2 linked regions of the Schizosaccharomyces pombe genome follow. Each later gene encodes a partner of the first gene's protein in a complex. Each region holds a gene or a part of one and is shown on either strand. Other genes may lie near its edges. A codon is read from its position in the direction of its gene.

What was found. The genes of interacting proteins can lie anywhere in the genome.
Region 2: the proteins of sre1 (region 1) and scp1 are in contact, whole or in part, in a cryo-EM structure (PDB 5GRS), measured with the Schizosaccharomyces pombe proteins. Residues at the interface, in NP_595694.1 of Schizosaccharomyces pombe: Glu855 (codon at 6,104), Met859 (codon at 6,116), Arg862 (codon at 6,125), Gly887 (codon at 6,200), Ser888 (codon at 6,203), Arg889 (codon at 6,206); in NP_596673.1 of Schizosaccharomyces pombe: Leu596 (codon at 3,589), Asp597 (codon at 3,592), Leu615 (codon at 3,646), Arg617 (codon at 3,652), Leu642 (codon at 3,727), Lys643 (codon at 3,730), Asn683 (codon at 3,850).

The regions. Positions count from the first base shown.
Region 1 is NC_003423.3:1,688,287-1,696,723, forward strand, and holds sre1 (transcription factor Sre1), read left to right. Parts: upstream 1-3,107; 5' UTR 3,108-3,541; coding exon 3,542-6,244; 3' UTR 6,245-6,405; downstream 6,406-8,437. Other genes in the region: fructose-bisphosphate aldolase Fba1, read left to right, coding at 81-1,157; U4/U5/U6 small nuclear ribonucleoprotein complex subunit PRP38, read left to right, coding at 1,862-2,003, 2,202-2,692; SPOM_SPBC19C2.10 (BAR adaptor protein ), read left to right, coding at 6,935-7,522, 7,638-8,437.
Region 2 is NC_003423.3:4,009,982-4,016,521, reverse strand, and holds scp1 (Sre1 cleavage-activating protein Scap Scp1), read left to right. Parts: upstream 1-1,637; 5' UTR 1,638-1,746; coding exon 1,747-2,675; intron 2,676-2,732; coding exon 2,733-5,064; 3' UTR 5,065-5,374; downstream 5,375-6,540. Other genes in the region: nucleoporin, WD repeat Nup120, read left to right, coding at 1-1,165; mrpl3 (mitochondrial 54S ribosomal protein mL44), read left to right, coding at 5,750-6,313, 6,353-6,540. UniProt on the Schizosaccharomyces pombe protein: Escort protein required for sre1 processing at low sterol as well as oxygen levels.

The DNA.
Region 1 (8,437 bases):
TATATAATAGAGGGTTGCGCGCTACTGTTGCAGTATCATACTTCCAAAGGTCGTATAGAACACACACACAAATTAGCAAAATGGGAATTCTCGATATTGTACCTACTGGTGTTATTACAGGTGACAACGTTTTAAAGTTGTTCACCTACGCTCGTGAGCACGGATTCGCCATCCCTGCCATTAACGTCACCTCCTCCTCCACTGCTATTGCTGCTCTTGAGGCTGCTCGTGAGGCTCGTTCCCCCATCATCTTGCAAACCTCCAACGGTGGTGCTCACTTCTTTGCTGGTAAGGAATCCTCCAACGAGGGCCAAAAGGCCTCCATTGCCGGTTCCATCGCCGCTGCCCACTACATCCGTTCCATCGCTCCTTTCTTCGGTGTCCCCGTCGTCATGCACTCTGACCACTGCGCCAAGAAGCTTCTCCCCTGGATGGACGGTATGTTCGAAGCCGATGAGGCCTACTTCAAGATTCACGGTGAGCCTCTTTTCTCTTCTCACATGCTTGACTTGTCCGAGGAGCCCAAGAAGGAGAACATTGCTCAAGTTAAGGAGTACTGCAAGCGTGCCGTTCCCATGAAGATCTGGATCGAGATGGAGATCGGTATCACTGGTGGTGAGGAAGACGGTGTCGACAACTCTCACGTCTCCCACACCGAGCTCTACACTCAACCCGAGGACATCTGGGATGTCTACCGTGAGCTCTCCTCCGTTACCCCTTACTTCTCCATTGCCGCCGCTTTCGGTAACGTCCACGGTGTCTACAAGCCCGGTAACGTCAAGCTCCAACCCGCTCTTTTGGGTCAACACCAAGCCTATGTTAAGGAGCAACTCAAGACCACCAACGACAAGCCCGTTTTCTTCGTCTTCCACGGTGGTTCCGGTTCCTCTGTCAACGAGTTCCGTACTGGTATCAAGTGCGGTGTCGTCAAGGTCAACATTGACACTGATACCCAATTCGCCTACGTCGAGGGTGTCCGTGACTATGTCTTGAAGTACAAGGACTACCTTATGACCCCCGTCGGTAACCCCGAGGGAGCTGACAAGCCCAACAAGAAGAAGTTCGACCCTCGTGTCTGGATCCATGAGGGTGAGAAGACCATGACCAAGCGTGTTCTTACCGCTCTTGAGGACTTCTACACTGTCAACACTCTCTAAATTTGTGGTTTTTGAAAGATGGAAATGATTGAATAGACGGTGGGCTTCATTAAAATTATATTTTTTTGTCCCCTTAATGAGAGTTCATACTGTTTTGAAATTACGTGTTTGAATATAGAGACATTGTTTTTTAAAATTACCATTGTAAAAGCATAAGAGATATTTGAAGTAAAGTAGGGCAAAGTAAGTTAAGAAATTTTTTTGGATTGGATTTGTAAAGTGTTTTTCAAGCATACTGTATATTGTTAAGATTTTTCTTTTTATCCTTTTATTCATCTTCCTTAATTGGTTAATGTGTTCTTAGGTATATAAATTTACAAAAAAAAAATTTCCGATTCCACATGACAATGAATGAATAAATAATATGTCCGTGCGTTTATTTGAATTTAATATATATCGTTTGGCAAATCTCGATGAGTAGCTTAAAACAACATAATCGCTTGAATTTCATGTGCTTTGTGTACACAGTGTGCATTGTTTAGTAGATCAACTTTTTCTTCTTTCATTGCAATGAGTACGGGCATTTTCCCTTTTCCTCCATATTTCACGAATCCATGTTTTTTTTAGATAACCCTTTCTCAATCAAAACTCAGCATGCTTCTTCAGACTTGACCACTTATATTGTCAGTACACTACTGCTCCTTAAAAGCTTACTCCAAGTCAAGACATCAAGGTTGGAGCAATCATTCTCTTCATGAGGTACTATGGCTGATTTTCTTGCTAGAGATTATCGCTCTCAAGGTGAGGCGGCGCATGAAATGCTGCCGACTTTCCTTATAGGAAAAATCTTGAGAGAACGCATAGTAGATTCTATTTACTGGAAAGAACAATGTTTTGGATTGAATGGTATGTGTTCTTCATTGACAGAAAAGGAAAGTGTTTTTACATATTAGAGTTCAAGTACGATTACTTTCCAAATCGATATTTTGAGTGATATAGCCTAAATGAACTTGATTTGGCAAGCAAAGAAACCAAGTATAGGTACTTGCTGTTTTAATCAGTCCTCAAACTGTTATTCCAAATTCACTGACTAATACATCTTAGCTTGTTCATTGGTGGATCGTGCAGTACGGCTTGAATATATAGGTGGTCAGTATGGAAATCAACGGCCCACCGAGTTTATCTGTTTGTTATACAAGCTTTTACAAATTGCACCTGAAAAAGAAATAATTCAACAGTACCTATCTATTCCTGAATTCAAGTATTTACGTGCCCTGGCTGCATTTTACGTTCGGCTTACATGGGATGATGTGGAAGTGCATCAAACGTTGGAACCGCTGTTAAGAGATTATCGGAAATTAAGAATTCGTACTAATTCTGAGATCCGATTAACATATCTGGATGAGGTTGTTGATGATTTGCTAAATGCCGAAGTAGTTTGCGATATTTCCCTGCCCCCATTGCGAAGTCGACTCCAACTTGAAGATTTGGACTTGCTTGAACCACTTTCATCTTCTTCAGACGAAGAAGATGATGATGAAGAACAAATTAGTAAATTGGAGAGCAATGAAGGTGCTGTAGATCGGAATATTTAAGGATAAGTAATATACAAAAAAAGAGTAAAGCGAAGCACGCATTTTGTGATGCGTCTACGATTTAACTTGGAATGACTCTACAAGGAAAAGTTATGGATTGAAATGGTTTTACACTTGAACTTATTAAAAAACAATTTATGAATAACAAACATCTAATCAAATAGATTTGTATATTAATATATATCGATTTCACATATTATCGCAAATACGCTATTTTTTCTTGTAAACAAATTTCGATAGACTTAGTTTACAGCACACTAAATATTTATAAAATGTCTTTGATACGCCACGGAATTTTTTTCACACCATACTTTAACGAATCACCCCATTCCGTCTATTTTCTTACGTTTCGTTAAAAACATGTCAGTCCACTTCTTTTTTGCTCACATATGAATTAACACGACTTTTCTCTTTCATCCATTACCATACTCGAGCAATCCTAACTTTGCTTATCGGGTGATCGATTTTAAATTTTTTTACTTATAGGACGTCCAGTAGCCTTTATAAGTTCATTGACAACAATTGGGTTGTTGCTGAGAGTTTGTTTACTGCGCTCGACTCTTGCTATAACCTAATCTTAAACGATTATCAAGCTGGATTTCCTTCTTGCTAAGAACATTATTTTATTTTACAACTCATTCAAGAAATTATTTTGCTATCTATCGCCTTGGATAGCTTTTAATGCGTCAAATTTTGGATAATTTGTAGCTCGATTAGAAAATTCGCTCAACATCCTATACAGTCACAGAGATAAAAAACCCTAAGAGTTAAATTCAATTTCTCTTTATTGTTGGATTTTTTAACTCGCTGTTAAATTCCGCTTGGTTCTAGCTGGAAATTTTGTTAAATATGCAAAGCTCAATTCCGTCAGTTTCCGTGTCGGTCGCTTCTCCTGCAATGGAAACTCCAACAAAAGCTTCGCCTGACAGCAAATCACCCAATTCAGTGGGTGCGATTCCTTCTTCATCCCCTTTGGCTTCATCGACAAAGGCTTCAACTTCTACTCCCTTTGTGGAGAATTGTTCCAATCTGTTGTGTGATTTGGCTAGCATTGTCGAGGACTCACCTCCAACCTTGACCAACACCTCGTTGTCTCCCCATTCGTTTTCCCTTTCTGATATGGAGTCATCAATGAGCAATTGGCTTAACCCTTTTGCGTTCGACAATACGATGAACTCGGCGCCTCCTCTGTTTACTTCGACCAACATGGGCTCCCCTAACTCGTTAGAAAACTCTACAAATCCTCTTCTCTCTAATTGCGGCTCTCCAAATTCATTTCAGAATGAGACCTTTACCGGCCCATCATTGAATGAGTTCGATGCCGATGATAAAATTCAGCGCCAAATGAAAATCCTTCACTCTGTTGATACAATCGATCCATCGACTGTTCAAAATTATCCTTCAGCTGATATGTCAAATCCAGAAGTCAAATTGAAAACCGAAGAAATTATTACACCCATGGACACCACTTGCAAGCCTGAACCTTCTGCCAAGAAAATAAAGTTGTCTCCTTCCTCGGAAGATTCTTGCTCAATTCCTGAAACATTACCTTTTTCGGCCCCCAAGTCTAGAGGCTCATTATCTCCTTCTGAAACCCCAGATTTTGTAGCCGGTCCTGGAGGAAAACCAAAGAAGACAGCTCATAACATGATTGAGAAGAGATACAGAACCAACTTGAACGACCGAATTTGTGAATTGCGTGATGCAGTTCCTTCACTTCGTGCTGCTGCTGCACTTCGTTGTGGTAATTCTCTGGACGATGAGGATTTGGGGGGTTTGACACCCGCTCGTAAGCTTAACAAGGGTACAATATTGGCAAAAGCAACTGAGTATATCAGACATTTGGAGGCCAAGAATAAGGAACTACAGAAGACTAACAAGCAGCTTTCAGATAGGCTGGCTTTCTACGAAGATCCTTCGATGGCTCCTCCTTCTAACGATACTCGAGCCGTTAACTCTGTTAATGTTGTTTCCTCATCTGACTATTCTGTTCACCAATCTTCTCGACCAAACCTAACCCAAAGAGCTTTTACTTCCCCAACCCTAAATACCATGGGCCGCACAGCACTAAATGGCATGGTTGGACTTGGTCTATTCAATTATTTTGGAAACGATTCTTCTCAATCTGTTTATGGTTTATTCGCTCTTCCACCTTTTCTTATGTCTCCATTCACAGGTACTGTTCTCTTTAACATGCTGAAAATTGGTGTTGTTTTACTCGGTTTATTCTATCTTTTGCACGATAACTCTCTTTTCAAAGGCTTCAAGGGTGAAAAGAAATCTAAAGTTAGTACCAGATCTTCCATGTCACCATCCTCAATCTTATTCCGAAAAACCGTATTCGAAAAGTATTGTTTATTGGACCATTCTACTTCGACTATTTCTCTATTTTTTGGATTACTGATCTTCACTCTTAAATCTGCTTATGGCTATTTGACTCATCGTTTGAGTGCTCTTTATACCTCCTCTGAGAATTGGGTTTATAGTGAGCAACAACTTGCTGAAGTTCGCAACATGGAAAAGCTTTTGGATGCCCAATTAATGGGTGGTGATGCTAAAGTTGACCGTTTGAGGCTCTTAATGGTATTTGCCAGTTCATTTTCTCTTCCTCCTTCAAGTCATACTTGTGCTTTACAAGCAATGTATTGCCAACTAATTTTTTCCAACACCTCTGTCCCATCCGCTATCGTTTCGAAGTGCGTTGCTTTCTTCTGGAATGCTGCAAAGAAACAACATAGCAAAAGTTCTGTACACGCGGAGTTACGTGAGCTTCCTGAGTGTACTGCTAACCTAATTGAAAACTCCCACGCTGACGACGTTTTCTCTCCGAATATGGTTGAGCGATTGTGGGTTCTAGCAAAGTGCACCCGTGACTCTGCTCAAATGTCAGATAGTATTATTAGCTCCTTATCTGATGTTTTGGTTTTATCTCCTCTAGAGGTGCTTGCCTCATGGTATGCCGCTGATTTGTTGGATGCCCTTTTGATGGAAAGTTTGAGCCGTAAAGTTGAGATATCCGAGATTGAGGAAATTATTTCCCTTTGTCCTAAGAACTCCTCTATTATTCGTCATGCTTTACTAGCTAAATTGGTTTTGTTCCCCGAGAATACAGCTGATTCTTTGAATGAAGTCCTTGCAGCATACAAGAACACTTTGGATTTATGCAGCCAAGATAAACGCAAGCAGTCAAGCGTGTTAAAGATCAACTTATCCAAGCTATTCACACTCCACTCATGCCTATCATTAGCACTCCAACGCCTTGGATACGGGGATGTTTCTAAACGTATGTATCAGGAAATCTTTGTACCTGATAGTGATGCAGACATTACACCTTTATCTTTTATTATTTCCTGGACCGCTTTGAACACTTTTGCTCCTATTTGCACATCTCCAAAGGAAAACGATGTCGTTGAAAAGATGGCCATGTACGTGCGGACGGCCATCGGAACTTTGAAAATTCAAGATTTGAAATTATCTCGTAAGTTAATCAACTCTTGCATAGATATTGGATCTCGCTTACAAGAAGATTTGGGTTATGTTTCATCAGCTTAAATTGTCGATTCTCGAGCTTTGAGAACAGTTAGTATACAACGCTCATCTATTGCAACTACCTTATTATTTTCCATGATTGTTATTTCATCAGTTATTTTGCGTATCATTTTTTAGTTTTAATTATTCTTTTAATAAATTACAGTTGTCGTCGGTAAGAGCAGTGATAAAAATATGCAATTAGAGTTATTTTGTTGTATCAAGCTAGCACAATTCACCATTTGAGTATATTTGGTGATTAAATAAAATGAATAGAGTACAATTTGAGGCATGCTAAGGTTCATCGAACTAACTATTTTTTTAAATAATGACACATTGGCAAGATTAAAAAATTGGATTCTTCTCTTGCAGTTAACTCTCTGCTGTTGATGAAGATGTGTTGAATCTTAGACTGCTGATATCCATTTTATACCAATTGTATAAAAAAAAGAATGTCAATTATTAATAAAATGGAAATGCATAAGATAGATAAGAGTGGTCTGAAGTTTTACGGTACAGTACGTAGTTCCGTCCTTACTGAAATCTCGGGAGTAATACGAACCATTCACCAAAGGTAAACAAACTACCAAATTGTTTTTATGTATTATTTACTACTATATTGGTTAACTTATTCTGAATCCTACAACCTAAAATAAAAATAAATAGACTCGCTTTTATTATTTGTCGATTCAAGAACTTAGCTCTCCTTTGAAGATGAACAAACATTTTGCAAAGCTTTCACAATGGACCGGTGAAAAATTTGGTTTTGATCGTCAGAAGACTACATTATCTGATGATTTTTGTTCCTTGAAAGGTGAAACGGATGCCTGGCTTGTGGGAATGGATAAAATTCATAGAAGTTGCACAAGATGGGTACGGAATATGGATAAACGAAAGGGCCTGCTCGACGAGAAAGATAAGCAATTACCTGTTACTCACGTTGGATCGTCTTTTGTAGAGTTAGGGCAAGCATTATCGCATTCTTCAAGCAATTCGCACACTTATATCATGTACGGAAAAAGCATGGTTGAAATAGGGCACCTACAGGAGGAGTTTATGGATTATTTGAACAATTCTTTTTTGGCAAATCTAGAAAATTCTTTAGCCGAGTTTAAGGCTTTAGATGTGAAGGAAAAGAAGATGGAAAATCGACGACTTGTCTTTGACGCGCTTTCTACAAAAATACAGAAGGCCAAAAAAGAAGAGTCAAAGCTTGAAGAAGATTTACGGAATGCTCGCGCAAAATACGAGGAGTCTCTGGAAGAGTTTGAAGACAGAATGGTTCAATTGAAAGAATTAGAGGTAAGTATTATCGTCCTAATGACATTCGTTACCAATTTGATGCCATAATTAAACGATTATTAGGCCTGCCTAACTTATCTTATATGACTCAATATTTTTGTTAACTAATTTTTAGCCTGATCGTGTCGAAAACGTTGTACGACTCCTACAGATGCAAATACGATTTCATCAAAAAAGTCTCGATTTGTTAAAGGGACTTGAGATGAACGGATTTTCCAAGAAGAGGGATAACGTTAATATTCCAAAGCGTACTTATTCCGCAAGATCTATTCCATCGAATATTTCTTCAACAAATGTTGCAACAACGCCCTCGAATACCATTTTTGAAATGGATGATACTTTAAAGGCCGATAGTTCTTCAAATGAATATCATTCTCCCACCAATACACTCCCTTCTTACCATACAGAAGCTGACCTGGACAATTCTTCCATAGCTTCTTCAAATAGAACACAGCATACTGAAGATAATTATAACAAGGATGTTTCGGATGCTCAAAATTCATTGGGGCAGTCTGCTGTAGATTTAACAACTCCCTCATCACCTCCAATCCCCCGTCATACCAAACCCAAACTGTCTACGACTCAAAGTACCCCAGTCAAACCGGCATCGTTACAAAGTGAGGAGGATATCCAGTTAAGTTTTAAACAACCGGAATTATCTGCTTCGTCGGCAGAATTGGATGAAAAGTTGAAGTCTCAGTGTAATGTATCCCCTTCACCTTCCAACATTTCTGATGCTCCCCCGAGCAAGCTTAATCGTAGTTATTCATCTCCACTTGCTTCCATTTCATCCAGAAAGGTAGTACGAATGAAATATTCATTTGAGCCAGAAACAGAAAATGAGTTAAAACTAAAAAAGGGAGATCTTCTTTTAGTTTTAAAAGAAATTGATGAAGGTTGGTGGGTTGGGGAGAA
Region 2 (6,540 bases), 2.3 Mb from region 1:
TGTTGATTCAACAAACTGTAATTTAAATACTATGGAAGCTTTAGCAAGTGTTAACACAGCCCTTCAGTTTTTTTCCGCTTTGAATTATTCCGAATGTTTCTCAGAAAGCCAAATTTCACCTTTACATGCTACCGTGATATCGTCTTTGTCGGCAATCTTTATAAGGGACGATACGGAAAATGATCTGGTCACTGAACTTGTAGAAAAGTTGTTTCTATTCAAACAATATAATGCATGTATGCAATTAATAGGGTGGCTTAACTCTGACCCAATTGCAGTCTACTTGAAAGCACTTATTTATCTCAAATCGAAAGAAGCTGTTAAGGCTGTCCGATGTTTCAAGACTACTTCTCTAGTCCTTTACTCACATACTTCTCAATTCGCAGTTTTACGGGAGTTTCAAGAAATTGCTGAAAAATACCACCATCAGAACCTATTATCGTGTTATTACCTTCATCTATCAAAAAAGCTGTTCGAGGAGAGTGCATATATAGATGCATTAGAATTTTCTTTATTAGCAGATGCCTCGAAAGAGACTGACGACGAAGATTTGTCTATTGCAATTACCCATGAGACTTTAAAAACCGCTTGTGCAGCAGGAAAGTTTGACGCTGCTCACGTTGCATTGATGGTTTTATCCACTACGCCTTTGAAAAAGTCATGTTTACTAGACTTTGTAAATCAATTAACGAAACAAGGTAAAATAAATCAGCTTCTAAATTATTCAATGCCAACGTTAAGACAGGACGTCGACAATTTGCTTGAGCGAAAGGCCTTTCAAATGATTAACGTTGAATCACAACCATGCTGGTATAATATTTTGTTTAGTTGGCGGTATAAACATCAAAACTATCGAGACGCAGCAGCAATTATTTATGAAAAACTGAGCCGGTATATCTCTACTACAGAATTAATTGGAAAAAAGGAGAGAACTTTTATAATAGAACATTATTTGATTGTTTTGAACACTCTGGAGTTGCTTCCGAAAGAAGATACATGGATTCTTGTGACAGACATGTCCGTGGACAAGGAACCTGACCCTAACTTTCTTCCACAAAAATTACTTACTCTAGATGCAATTGTAGCAGAATATCACTTACAGTTGAAGGATGTCGCTGTTCAAGTTACAGCTGAAATGTCATCGGCCATGAATATCGATTTATAAAGGCAACAAAGAATTATTTACGCAGCTTAACCTTCTCATTTAGAAAAATCCAGAAAAAAAGCAATATGCTTGGCAGAGTTTTAGTAATTAAATCATCTTTAGTTTCATTGAGGCGATGGGTAGCCATAAATAACTAACTTCTTTCTATAAAATTAAATTCTGAATATAAATATACTTTCGATAGCATTGGTATTTACATATCTTTAACGAATTATAATTCCGACCTTTTTGCTGCAGCTTGCCGCAGTTTGCTAATTAGTGTTGTCCGTTGGGAAATATTGTTGAGATACGGCTAGTATCGGCAGAATGTTGGAACCAACAATAATTATATATTTGAATTTTTATTTCCTTATTTTATAACATTTTTTTGAAACTTTTGGTTTCAGATTAAATAATTCTCTATTAATAATAGTGTACGGAAATTGCACGCCGTGTGCCCGAATTTAAATTTGTCGGGTCCCGAAGGAATGTACAAAACACCAAGACCTGCGAAAACTGATTCTCAGTGAATTGGGTATATCGGTCTTGTAAAGATCTAATTAATGAACGTTTACCAATGTTATTGAACTGAAAATATCGTTATGAGGATTTTTACTCTTGGAAAAGGCCGAATTTCACGAGGGTATGCTCGGCAAGTTAACCCTTCATTATTTGCCAAGTACAGCTACTGTATTGCCAATAATCCTTGGTATTTCATTCTTGTGTTTACTCTTTTATCAATCACAGGTATATATTCGTCGTTGGTAGCGTATCAGCAATCCCTTTACGATCAATCATTAGCTAGATGGTCGGCTTGGTATGCCGAGAGCATCAATGCTGAAGCAAATGTTATTACGAAACAACTCTATCTTTTAGGAACGAACACATCAGTGTTTTCCGAAGACTATCTTTCAAACGCGTATCGTTGGGAAACAAGCTTCCATCAATATTTGGCGGAATACGGGTATCCTTGCATAAGAGATGAAAAATCCTGTGTAACTATTTCTCCAATACCAAAATATTATGGTAAGGTTGATCCTGTAGCTCAATATTCATATACTAAAGGGCTTCCTGAAAATGAGCGTGAAGTGAACAAGCTTAGGAATGATACAATAGCCGAAGGTTTTGACTCGCTTAGTGCTTTTGTGATTACTTACTTTTTAAAGCCTGAACAAGTCGATACTTTTCATGTTGTTTTAAAGAAATTTATTTCCGAAACTCCTAATCTATATGCAAGTTTACTTGATACATCCCCTACCACTGTCGTAGCACGTATTCCTGACCTTACTGTTATTTACAGATGGTACCTATGGGTTGGGTTTGGAGTCGGACTTTTTGCATATTTGTATTTGTCACTTGTGCGGTTGCATGATATTCGTGCTAAATTTGGTCTTACAGCGACTATATTTATTCAAAGCGGTACTGCCTACTTCTCTACCTGTTCTTTGCTGTATTTCTTTGAAAGAACGGGCCCCATATGTCCATGGCCTATGGCTTACTATATTATCATATTTATGGACATTGAAAACTCGTAAGTTTTTTTGCTATACTTCGTCATTATGTGAACGTTTTATTACTAACTTATCAGATTTCGACTTTTACGCGCAGTAATCGCTTCTCCTCAGACGAAGCGTGTTCCTTCTCGTATAATGGAAGGGTTTTCTAGTACTATTATTGCCTCCTTTTCATCCTTACTTAAGAAGTTATTGACTCTTTTTGTCTTGAGCTTCTTTGTTTATCCTCTGGTGCAGGAGTTTTGTTTGTTTCTTGCCTGTTCTTTCGTCGTTAGTTTTTTACTGCATGGAAGTTTTTTTCTAGCGGTCCTAAGTGTCGATATACGTCGTTTGGAGTTGCAAGATTTTTTAGATTCAAACTCTTCTAATCGAAACTCAAAATGGTGGGTTCCGTATCTAGAATACGTAAGATTCATGTGGTCTCCATGGATTATCGATAATCTTGGTACTGTTTCATTTCATATGTACGTTATTTATTTACAACTCCAATCCAGTACAGATATCAATGGGTCTTGGAGATTAGCATCTCCTAACATTCGCTTTCTCATTACGTTATATCATCGTTTAGGCCGTATTTTACGAGAACGAAAGTTATTTCCACTGATTACGACCGGTTGGTTTGGTGACCCCACTTTTTTAGAAGCATTAAAAGAGAAGACGATGGCGGAAAACCTTGTTATTGCTTTGTATCGACCAGTTATTCTTGACACTGTTAACCGTCGTGATTACACTAATGTCTACAACTCGTTTCATGACCGGAGAGTATGGAGATGGTCAACATTTTTCAGCATACTGTTCGCAATTGATTTTGCGGTTGGGTTGCTTGTTAAAGCACTTTTGCGAGGCTGGTCTGACCATGACGAGCTTTCAACCGATACAACATTACATGAGGAAAAATTCAGAATAGAACCCGTTCCTGTTCATCATCAGCTTGACATTTTAAAAATTGCTGTATCTGAAAACTATAAGACGTTTGCCTCCGTCGGGTTAGATAGGTGTCTTGTAGTTTGGGATTTACGTCAATGGTGTACAAAGCTTGTACTTTCAAAAGAACAAATGCCCAGGACGTTAAAAGCAATAGCTTTAGATCCTCAGGGAAACTACGTTTCGTTGTTCTCAAAGGATACTTTATTCATTCTGAATGTAGAATCTCCTTGCTTGATGCTTCAACATTCCTATCACTGTAAGCCAAATAGCAAATTAAACGTGTTCTGGATGCCGGGTACGCATAAAGATGATGAATGGAAAAACTTTGAGCTAGTGGTTGTTGAAAGCTCAGGCGAAATTCAGGTTTTTAGTCTGACTATTGAAATTGAAGGTGCAGATATAGCTTTGGTTGAAAAGTTTCAATTAAGTTCTCCGATTATTAAATCAATAAGTATCGTTTCACCCACGGCTAATAGAATTGCTTGTTTGACTGAATCCGGTGAAGTGACTGTATATTCTAAAAAAGGACCCGTCTGGTCCCCAAAGATTTTATCTCAAAACAAAAATTATCTAACAGAAACAAAAAAAGATATTTATGGAATTGCAATGGCGGACATTTTGTTTCTTGCTCGAGATAGTGGTGTCGACATGATTGACCTTAAAAACGATGAACTATTACATTCCTTTACACTGCCGCCGATAAAAGTAAACACTTTTTCAGTTGGCGTGAGTAACAGTCGATTTGTTAATGGACAGTTTAGAGTGTCATCAATATCGTTTTGTTTTACTCACGCTGTTACCGAAAAGGTTCTTTATTATTACTACGGTAATGAATGTAATGAGTCTTATATTATATTGAATAAATGGGATCAACAGCCAAATCTTGTGGACGTACACGATCCTGATAATTCGCTGGCTTGCTTGACCTTTGATGAACTACAAGAAAATATCCATGAAGTCGAAGATGCTAGTGAATGTGTAATGAGCTCAGATGGACTCTACATATTTGGCATGCGAAGAAAAAGTTCATCGGGGATTTGTCCAACAGCAGATGAGAAAAACGAAGATAATGGTTTTACTCTTCGTAACCGAAAGTTGCGAACTGGCCATTACAATTGGACGTCTTATGTACCCCTTCTAGATTCTTATATGCAAGACATGGAACACAAAAAAAATACGCATAGTGGTGGTGAAACCCAGGTATGGGAAGTTTGGATGTACTCTCAATCTGAAAAGAAGCACCGCTGCAAATCTTTAAAGATGTATAATTCTTTAATTATTGCAGACCCTGGACCTTCTCTTGCAGTCTCTGATAGATGCGTAGCCATTGTTCTAGGTAATTACGTTGCACTAGTCGGCTATGGAAGTGAAATCTTTCGTGATTTTTACCAAATCAGAAATTCCGATGAGATGGACAGAATTTTACGTCGCAAAAGAAAAAATTTACAGAGAAAAAGATCGGGGACCATCGGATGTTAAAATTAGTACTTCTTGTTTATTAGCCCTATGTTGATGTGCATATATATATGTATATATAGCTGCGATACCGTTTGCTAGCATGTCATGGTTGTCGGGATTGTTATAAGACCACTTTAGGGCTTATCATTCGTTCTTGAATAAGAAATATGTGCTTCCATTGTGTTTTAACTATTTAATATCTACCCAATTATTTTGTTAGCATTTGCAAGCCGGCCTTGCTAATGTCACGAGACACTTAACGTTTGTGGGAAGTTGCTGATTCTGTTAGTATTTTTAATAATTTATGAAATGTTTTTTTTTTCGTTCATAACTATTCTAACATGTGGATTAAAATTAAAGATGTTGTTTATAATTATTTTTTTTTTTATATTGTAAATTAGGAAGACAACAACACTAATTTTAATGTTCAGAAGTTTATGGTTTGTATCCATGAGGTTCATGCAACTAAACTAGGATGGATTTACTAAAAAATTTGTATTTGTTTTGTTTATAGTAGATTTTTCTTAATAAACTAATCCCAATGTTAAAGACAATTAGCCAAAATTCGTTTTGAATTTCTGGAACGCGTACCCACTTCTTAAAAGTTATCTTCCGCCTATTTTACCTCAACCTGTTTAATAACCACCTTAACGACTATTGTATGCTGCATACATACAGTTTATAATTAATTGTAACTAAAAATACCATGTCGTTTATAAGCAGATCAACAACGACCTTTCGGAGGAGCATATCTATGAAAGACTATGCGAGGGTTCGGTGGTACAGTAACAGCGGCAAATCGTTGATCGAAAATATTCTTTCATCCAAAATTGCAATCTCAAAAGTTTATACCCTTAAAAAAAGAATTGGACTTCCTGAAAGTTATCCAATGAAAGTTCTTGTTCAAGCACTGATCGATAAGACTGTTGTTCAAAACCCCCAATATTCTAACGAAAAACTCTGGTCAATAGGGAAAGTGTTTGGTGATTTCTATGTTCTTGAATACATTAAGTGCAAATACCCCAGGCTGCCGGAGGAAGCAGTTCATGGCATGCAAAATGGGTGGATGGGCTCAAAGGCTTTGAGTCAGTTAGCAACTATCTGGGGTCTTGAAGTACAGAGAAGAGAAGAAGGTTTACAAGAGTCATTTGGAAAAGTTTTAGCGAAGCGTGCTGACCCTGAAATGCTGAGGAAGCCTGGTGAAATTTACAAAGATGAGGCAGCGCGAAGAGCCATTTTAGCAATTTTGGGCGGAGTTTACCTACATCAAGTAAGAAATTTTTATCAGTGTTTACTAATGTTTTTACAGGGATTTAATGATACTAAAAAATTTATTAATGACCACATCTTATCTAAACAATTAGACCCAAGAACAATGTTACAATTGCAATGGCCTCGGCGTCAACTATCTCGTTTATGTAAAAGGCTTTCATTAAAGGAACCAGTCTATCGCATTATAGCCGAGACGGGAAGAAAAAGCAGAGAACCTGTTTTTGT